2 linked regions of the Rattus norvegicus genome follow. The protein of the gene in region 1 purifies or fractionates together with the protein of each later gene. This does not show direct contact. Links are inferred from orthologs where the notes say so. Each region holds a gene or a part of one and is shown on either strand. Other genes may lie near its edges. The genes, in order: Edc4 and Edc3.

Evidence for each region.
Region 2: the proteins of Edc4 (region 1) and Edc3 purify together in Homo sapiens (affinity purification with mass spectrometry; 6 studies listed by BioGRID and IntAct, with this or other methods). This does not show direct contact. The link is inferred for Rattus norvegicus from reciprocal best matches to the Homo sapiens genes EDC4 and EDC3.

What each region holds. Positions count from the first base shown.
Region 1 is NC_086037.1:50,690,411-50,694,218, reverse strand, and holds part of Edc4 (enhancer of mRNA-decapping protein 4), read right to left. Parts: coding exon 3,655-3,808; intron 3,559-3,654; coding exon 3,486-3,558; intron 3,389-3,485; coding exon 3,297-3,388; intron 3,222-3,296; coding exon 3,034-3,221; intron 2,955-3,033; coding exon 2,821-2,954; intron 2,744-2,820; coding exon 2,587-2,743; intron 2,237-2,586; coding exon 1,800-2,236; intron 1,708-1,799; coding exon 1,603-1,707; intron 1,499-1,602; coding exon 1,346-1,498; intron 1,265-1,345; coding exon 1,228-1,264; intron 1,114-1,227; coding exon 936-1,113; intron 832-935; coding exon 676-831; intron 588-675; coding exon 472-587; intron 385-471; coding exon 219-384; intron 132-218; coding exon 1-131. UniProt on the Homo sapiens protein: In the process of mRNA degradation, seems to play a role in mRNA decapping. Component of a complex containing DCP2 and DCP1A which functions in decapping of ARE-containing mRNAs. Promotes complex formation between DCP1A and DCP2.
Region 2 is NC_086026.1:67,036,386-67,040,193, reverse strand, and holds part of Edc3 (enhancer of mRNA-decapping protein 3), read right to left. Parts: intron 3,259-3,808; coding exon 3,105-3,258; intron 1-3,104. UniProt on the Homo sapiens protein: Binds single-stranded RNA. Involved in the process of mRNA degradation and in the positive regulation of mRNA decapping. May play a role in spermiogenesis and oogenesis.

The sequences.
Region 1 (3,808 bases):
AGTGGCTGCCATCTGCTCAGTGGCATTCTGCAGTGTGCTGACCAGGCCCCGAAGCTGGGCCAACACAGGCTCCCTAGCTTCTTGTTCACGTGCCTTTCGGCTCTTCATGTGACTGTCCAGCTGCTGCAAATCTAAAGGGACCAATGGGGACCAGAGAAGGGGTCAGAGCAGAGTACGGCTCCTCCTCCTCTGCTGGGCTTATGGTGGACAACACTCACATTCCTGAGTGCCCAGCCTGAAGCTGTCATTGATTTGCTGGAACATAGCCTGACAACTCTTCTCAAAAGCCGGCAGCACCACACTCTGGAAGGCTTCTCGGTAGGCAGCCTGCATTGGTCCCTGTAGCGTATCTGCAGCTGCGCGGGCAATGGCATCTGTTAAGTTCTAAAATATAGGAAGGGGTCAAGTTGAAAGCCCGAGTTCAATCTGGCTTGTCTAGCCACACTTCCCCCATCCTGGACCCTACATCACCTTGGACTTGAGTAGCTTAGAGATATTCTCTTTCATGCTGCCTTCCACAGCTGTAAGCTTGGTAGCCACTGAGTTGCTTAGTTGGCCTGCCACAGGCTCCAGACTTCTGGAGACACCTAGGAGAGACAGGCGGATGGAACCATCAGTTTGAAAGTGCCCTACACCCACCTGGCCCAGTGGAAAGAAACCTCATGGAAAACTCACATGGAGGAACTGTTTTCTTGATTTCATCCCTTATGCTGCGCTCTAGCCGCCCAGCCACAGCTGAAGACAAAGCCTGGGATAGCTGCTGTGTCAGCTGCTCCTGTAGCTGCCCACCCCGTTGCTGCCCCTCAGCCAGTGCCCGCTCCAGTCGCCGTTCTGTGGTGGAGCTAAGGAACAGGCCTACAACAGGACCTATGCCTTTCCTAGGCAAGAATGCTACTGCACCTTACTGCCATGCTGTGCCACTACCCCAAGGATACGCTCTTGCTCATGCCGTGTCTCCAGGGCACGTTCTACATGGTCTGTGACAGTGCTCTGAAGACCTTCAAGTTGGGCACAAAGACGCTGTAGCAGCTCTTCTTGGTTGTGCCATAGTTCTGCCAGCTCTCTTTGCTGCTGCCAAATTAGTGCTGGCCAGTCTTCAGGGGGCTCTACCACCTGCCAGAAGCACTGACACCTTACACATCTCCACCCACCAAAAAAAGTAGCTCAAAGTCCCTCCCACCCTTGTGGGATGGGGCCCCATGGGTAGAAAGGTGCTCCCTTACATACCTGGTGCTCGGTGAGCCGAGATCCCACAGCTGAATCCCTACATAGGCAAAACAGCATTGCAGGTCACAACAGGCAGCTCAGACCACCACCCCTGGCCCCGGTCCAAGAATTCTCCTACCCATCATCCTTCTTGCTTTTCCTCTTGAGCTTAGGTGAAGTCCTAGGGGATCCCTTGGTTTTCCAATCCTTGGCAGGCAGCCGTGGAGTAGGAATTTTGCTGCCAAAACCTCCTGAAGCAGAGGCAAGGCTGGCAACCTCATCGTCATGGTCACTGTGGAAGGAAGGGGAGGAAGGCTGAGTGTCTGCTCACTTGCTTTTCCCTTATTCACTGCTCTCCTTCCTTAGAGGAGAAGCAAGGAACAAGATTGTGCTCACCTTTGCTCAGCACTTGTGTCCTGACTGTCATGTTGCTGCAGCAGGTGATAAGGTGGCCTGTGGAAGGCCAGGCTTTTGTGCTTTTCCTGGAGGCCATTCCTGGGGCTAAGGAAACACATGGACTCAGTAGTGGACAGTCCTAATATAGACGCCCTGCCCGCCCGCCCAGGCATATTTCCCCCTTCTAATCTTCTTACCTTTCTGTTAGTGTGCTACAGGTCTCACGAGTAATGTCAGGTGCTGTAGGCCAGACTTGACTGTCAGAGGTTGCAACTTCCTGGGTCAAGGCTGCTTCCAGTAGGGAAGGGGTACTATGCCTATCCCCATCCCCAGGGCCTCCATCTAGACCAAGCTGAGAACTAAGCTCAGGGCCTTGCCTGGGCCGAGGAGACAGTAGGTGTAGTGCTGAGGCAGCTGAGGCCATGCTGTCTGGCTCAATGAGGCCCTCAGGTACAGAGGAGCCAAAGCCACGGGACAGGGCCTCAGATGCAATTTCAGGGATGTCCTGGGACAGGGCAGTGGATGCTGAGGAGATCACATCAGGAGAACGTGTGCGACTTGGGGAGGCCTGGGGTAGCCCTAATGGTTCCACTTCCTGCAAATCCAAGGATAGTGCAGAAGTACCAGAAGATACCTGAGAAGAGCCAAAGATAGAGGCTTAAGTGCTAAGGGCTCAGGGGCACAAAAATAAGGCACTGGCATCTGTAGTGGTTAGACATCATCTAACAGAAAAGGGAGATGCAAGTGGAAAGCAGGGCCACAGTTCACAAGAGGTGGGGATTGGAGGCTGACGAGATGCCCTCTTGGGAACATGAAAGCCTGCTCTAACCTTTGAGGAAATGTAACACTTCCAAGGCCAAGGAGGGTCAGAAGAAAAATATATAGGAATAGAGTGCTCCAATCTTTTCCATTGCCCTCTACCACTTGCTACCTAGTACTTTATACGCATTCATATTCTCCCCTTATCCCCCAACCCCCACCTACCTGACCAGGTCCCTTGGGAATTAGTTTGTCAGCTGGGCCTGGGAGCAGGCCCGGAAGAAGGCTCCGAGGGCTTGCCTGCAGGCTGCTGCTGCTGCTTATAGTCAGGCTGCCATCTAGCTGCAGTTTGGGGCTCAAGGTCAGTTCCTCGGGTGGCCTACTGGCAGAAAGGCACGGCATTAGCAACTGTAATTCGTCACAGTTGGGCACAAGACCCAATTCTGATTTTTATTTTACCTGGGCAAGGAGGGGTCCATGGCTGAGGAGCTGCTCACAGCAGACACAGCTGTTAGAGAGCTGCTGCTGCTACTGCTGCTGCTGCTACTGCTGCTGCTGCTACTGCTGCTGCTACTACTAGGGGATGCAGAGATCTGGGAAGAGCCAGAAAATGAGTGCTAAGGTTAGCTAATGGGACATTACCAGACCTCTCTCCACGAAGGAAGTAAGTACCTGCTGCAGGGAGGCGGTAGGTGTCATGAAAGCATCAGGTGTCATCAACTTAGGCTTGGTCTCACTGCTCAGACTGAGGAAGTCTGCAGGTGCAGGCAGCTCCACAATGCGTCGGAGGTCAGGCTGGGAACCATGAGGAGCTGAAGCTAGCCCCTCAGAGCCTAGTTCAGGTCGAGACTCTCCAAATGCTGTTGGAAAAGCTGCTAAGTCAGATCTCAAGGCCACATCAGTGGAACCAGTCTCCCTTCTGTTCCCTTACTCACTGAAGTCCTCATGAGCAGTGTGGGTAGAGAGTGGGGCCACCACATCAGGGTTCAGCTGTGGCTGGAAGCGGATCTGCACATCTTGGAGTGCCCTAAAGAACAAAGGGGAGAAGAGAATACTCAAAAGGCCAGGGCCAGTAGGGTAGGGGGACATAGGCAGGACATGGCAGGCCTCCCTGACACACTCACTTAGTGTGCACACAAAAGAGCTTGATAAGCACACCAGCTGCAGATTCCAAGGTACCAGCTCCATGGGAACTCTCTGAAAGGACAGTGTGGATCATTAAGGCATTGGCCTGCTCTGTGCATGGACACTTCCCACATACCAACATATAGCCCTTACCCCAGGGCACCTCACCAGTCCCCAGACTGTCACTCTCCTCCTCAGCAGGCAGCACCTCAGTGTGCCGCAGCCGGCAGCGACTCACAACCTGGATGCCAAAGCTCAGCACAGGGTGGGTGAGCAGGAACTCAGAGATGGAACTGAAGCAAGCACGGCCCTCGTCCTGGTT
Region 2 (3,808 bases), on another chromosome or scaffold:
CCGCCCATGTCTATCAGGCAGGGTTACAAGCTGAGGGCCAGCTGGCAGACTCAGGACCTGCTCCACTCAGCAACGTCTGACTCTGTAGGACCGGCTCCTCCACATGCCCCAGAAGCCTGCAGATGGAACAGATGCCCGATGGACCAACCCAGAGTGCTGGTTCTGGGCCAGGACAGCAAGCAAAGCCATGGGCAAGCAGGACCTCCACTAAGCACACAAGCCCTTCACTTTTCAAACTCCGAGCTCCCTTTTCTTTGAGCTCCAGATTAAAGCTTCACCTCACTCTTATGAGTCATGATAACTCTTCTTTTCTCAACTCCTATTGTCCCTGATTATTTGCCACTCATCCAAGGAACGCAGTGCTGTGGATGATGCTTCGTTACTTCCTGTGGAGTTACGTGAGCAAATGCATCGACCGAGATTCCCCACACACAGAAATCCTCAACTGAGATTCCTAGACATCAGGGCAGAACCTGCCTTGGAGCAGTCTTCCTGCTAGTCAAAGCTGCCATGTCTTTGTTTTATGACAGCCAATGCTAAGGAGGCTGAGATCAGCCCTAGAGGGGGCCACAAGGTAGAGATGAGATGAACCGTAAGATGTAGGGTGGGCCAGTGCCAATCACCACCCACAGAGGAAGATTTACAGGTATTGTCGAGACTAAAAGGAGTTTCAGGACTTTCATTCCCAAACATACTTGGGAGAACTTAGTACAATCCTCTAAACAGATGCCAAGCTACTCTCTACCCCATTATCTCTGCTTCTAGAGCAGTGGTTCTCAACCTGTATGTCACACCCTCTTGGGCCGAACAACCCTCTGCAGGATTCATTTAACAGATTACATTATGATTCATAACTAAATCAGTTATGAAGTAGCATCGAAAATAATTTTATGGTTGGGGGTCACCACAACATGAGGAACTGTATTAAAGGGTCGCAGCATTAGGAAGGCTGAAAACCACTGTTCTAGAGGAAATAAGACTTCCTTTACATACATGCTACAGAGTCCTGGCATCTGACTCAAGGGTCTACTCCCCAAGACCCTTCCTAACCCCATAAGCTCTCACCAGCATGAAAGCCGACTGGGGTCTTAGCACCCACAGCACCTCTGCAGGGTGAAGCTCTGGCACCATTATACCAGCAGTGTTACCTGGATGCTCCTTCAAGCTCCAAGCCACAGTTTGTTCCTCTTAAGTCATGGGTCTGTAACATTTCCCTTCAATGTGAAGCTCTGAGGAGCACATAAAATTCGGCTGTGAAAACGGCACTTGACACACACATTTGACAGACAGAAAACAATGTGTCTGACTTCCAAAGACTAGTAACTGCTACAAGGACAGAGATGCAACTGGAAAGCTCAGATTAAGAAAAACAGGCAAGGCTTGGTGGTGGCACACCTTTAAGACTAGCACTTCGGAGGCAGAGACAGGTGGCTCTCTGTGAGCTCAGGGCCAGTTGGGTCTACAGAGTGAGGCAAGTTCCAATGATGAGAGTTTGATTCCATGGCAGGCTGCAAATTGGTCGTTCAGGACATTAGGCCTAAACACCCAGGCTTTAGGCAGCTAGTTAGAAACTGCACTGCCATCAGAAATGTCCCACCACCTGGCCTGAAACGAGGACAATGGGTCAGCAGTTTCTAGCCAGACCCCATGTCCCAGTAATGAAATATCCTAGAGATGGAGTAAGATAAAGGTCACTGACTCTGCAATCCCCTAATGTGCTTTAAATCTGGCCTGTGAGGTCACTTAGTTGTCTATCTTGGTAATGGAGCGACCCCAACATGCTAGATTTCTGCAGAATAAAACACTCTGTTTGCATACTATTTAAGTCCAGAGTATCATTCTTGGGCAAATCATGGACCCTTACACCAAGACAGCCAGGACTATACAGAGAAACCCTGTCTCAAAAAAACCAAACAGACAAAAACCAAATTTTTTTTTCAAAACCAACCAAACACAGAAAAATCCTAAATGGATTAGGCACAGTGGTAAACACCTGTAGCCAAGTGCCTGCAAGCCTTGGCGCCTGAGGCAGGAGATTTGAGATAGCCAGGGCTACAGAGTAAACCTGTCCTTAAAAAGGAAGGAAGGAAAGAAGGAAGGAAGGAAGGAAGGAAGGAAGGAAGGAAGGAAGGAAGGAAGGAAGGAAGGAAGGAAGGAAGAAAAAAAGTAGTCCACTAGTCAGAAGAAGTCAGTGAGAGAAGAATACACTGGTGTGGACATGCATACCCTCTGCCCCGCACCAGTTTCTAGAAAGTCACTTAAAGGCTTCAAAAATCCTTCTGCCCAGTGAATTCATTCCAAGACAATCCAGGTGGCTACTCCAAGAGTAGGTGTGCAGCAAGCTATCCCTCCTTGGGGAGCCCACTTCCCTTTCTGCACATGAGTGTCAGGCATAGGAAAGAACAGGTCCAAGAAAAGCACACAACGGAACAAATACTCATAACTCTACAAAGCAAGCAGTTGAGACCAGAATGAAATCTATCCTTCCTGGACCAAACTTGCTTTCGTAAGACTGCTCTAGAACCAGGAGACACTGTCCCGCCAAGTGCAGTCAGGGGATTTCTAGACAATTTTCTCTGCTTCCTTCATCATGACAATTCACCTTACTTCCTGCATGAGGACTTCCCCAGGCATGAGCAGTGTACTGTGTTGTCTCCAGTGTGCCCAAGGTCAAAGAGAAGGTCTAGAACACATACTCTGGGAAGACCAAGCTCTGCTGCTAACAGTGGCCTTTAGGCAGGCAGAAACCACCTCCTCCACTAGGTGTCAGGGTGCCTCTAAATGCCCTGAGCGATGGCGTTCGGGACTGATACGCTTTCTAGTGAAAAGCCAGTGTCAAAGGCCAGATCCCTGCAGGACTTCCCAAAATCAGACCTGACAATCAGCATGGATCTCAAAAGACCAGACCGCTGCTATCAGGAAAGAAGGCAGTATGGACTTCCAGGAGACAGGGAAGAGGGCAAAGAAGGTTGGCAGCATAAGAGGCTCACAGGGGACATCAGTGACTGCCTGGCAGCAGCTCCTATGTGCATGTGAGGTATGTGGGCTGACCATGCAGGGCACTGCCACCCCACATTTAGCACTGCCAGTCTAGAGCCACTCACCTGTTGGGTCCTCCAAGGAGAGTCAGGGCCATCTGACTGGCACACACACCAGTCATCTCAAGTCTCCGCTCTAGGGTCAGCCCATGCTTCTCGGCCACAGACAACAGTTTTTTATGTAGCTCATAGGAAACACTTGGGACTACCAGGCCAGAGTCTATGGTAAAAGAGAGGCAAGAAACAAGGAAAATTTATTATAAGAAATCAGGTCTAAAAATGTGGCCATTCTACACAGAATCTGCAAAAGTCAACTGGTTTGTTTTTGTTTTGTTTTTGTTTTGAGACAGGACCTCTCAGGTAGCCCAGGCATAAACTTTTTATGTAGCCATAGATGGTCTTGAACTCTAAACCTCGTTTCCACCTTCTAACTGCTGGGATTACAAACAAACACACACATGCCCAGTTTATTCAGTATTGAGAACTGAACCTAGAACTTTGTGTATGCTCAGCAAAAACTATCAAATGAGCTTTATTCTAGGTCAAATGCCAACTTCTTAAGAATAAGCCTTTCTAGGGAGTTAGAGCACGACTCTAATTTCAGCATTCTAAAGGCAGAGACAGTCCGATCTCTTTTGAGTTTGAGGCAAGCCTAGTTTGCATAGTGAGTCCAGAACATTCATGGCTGTGTAGAGACCAAGCCTCCTGTTCCAGCCTCCTCCCTGAGGCTAAAGCATGCTTTCGAATGCATGGCAACCTATAATACCTGT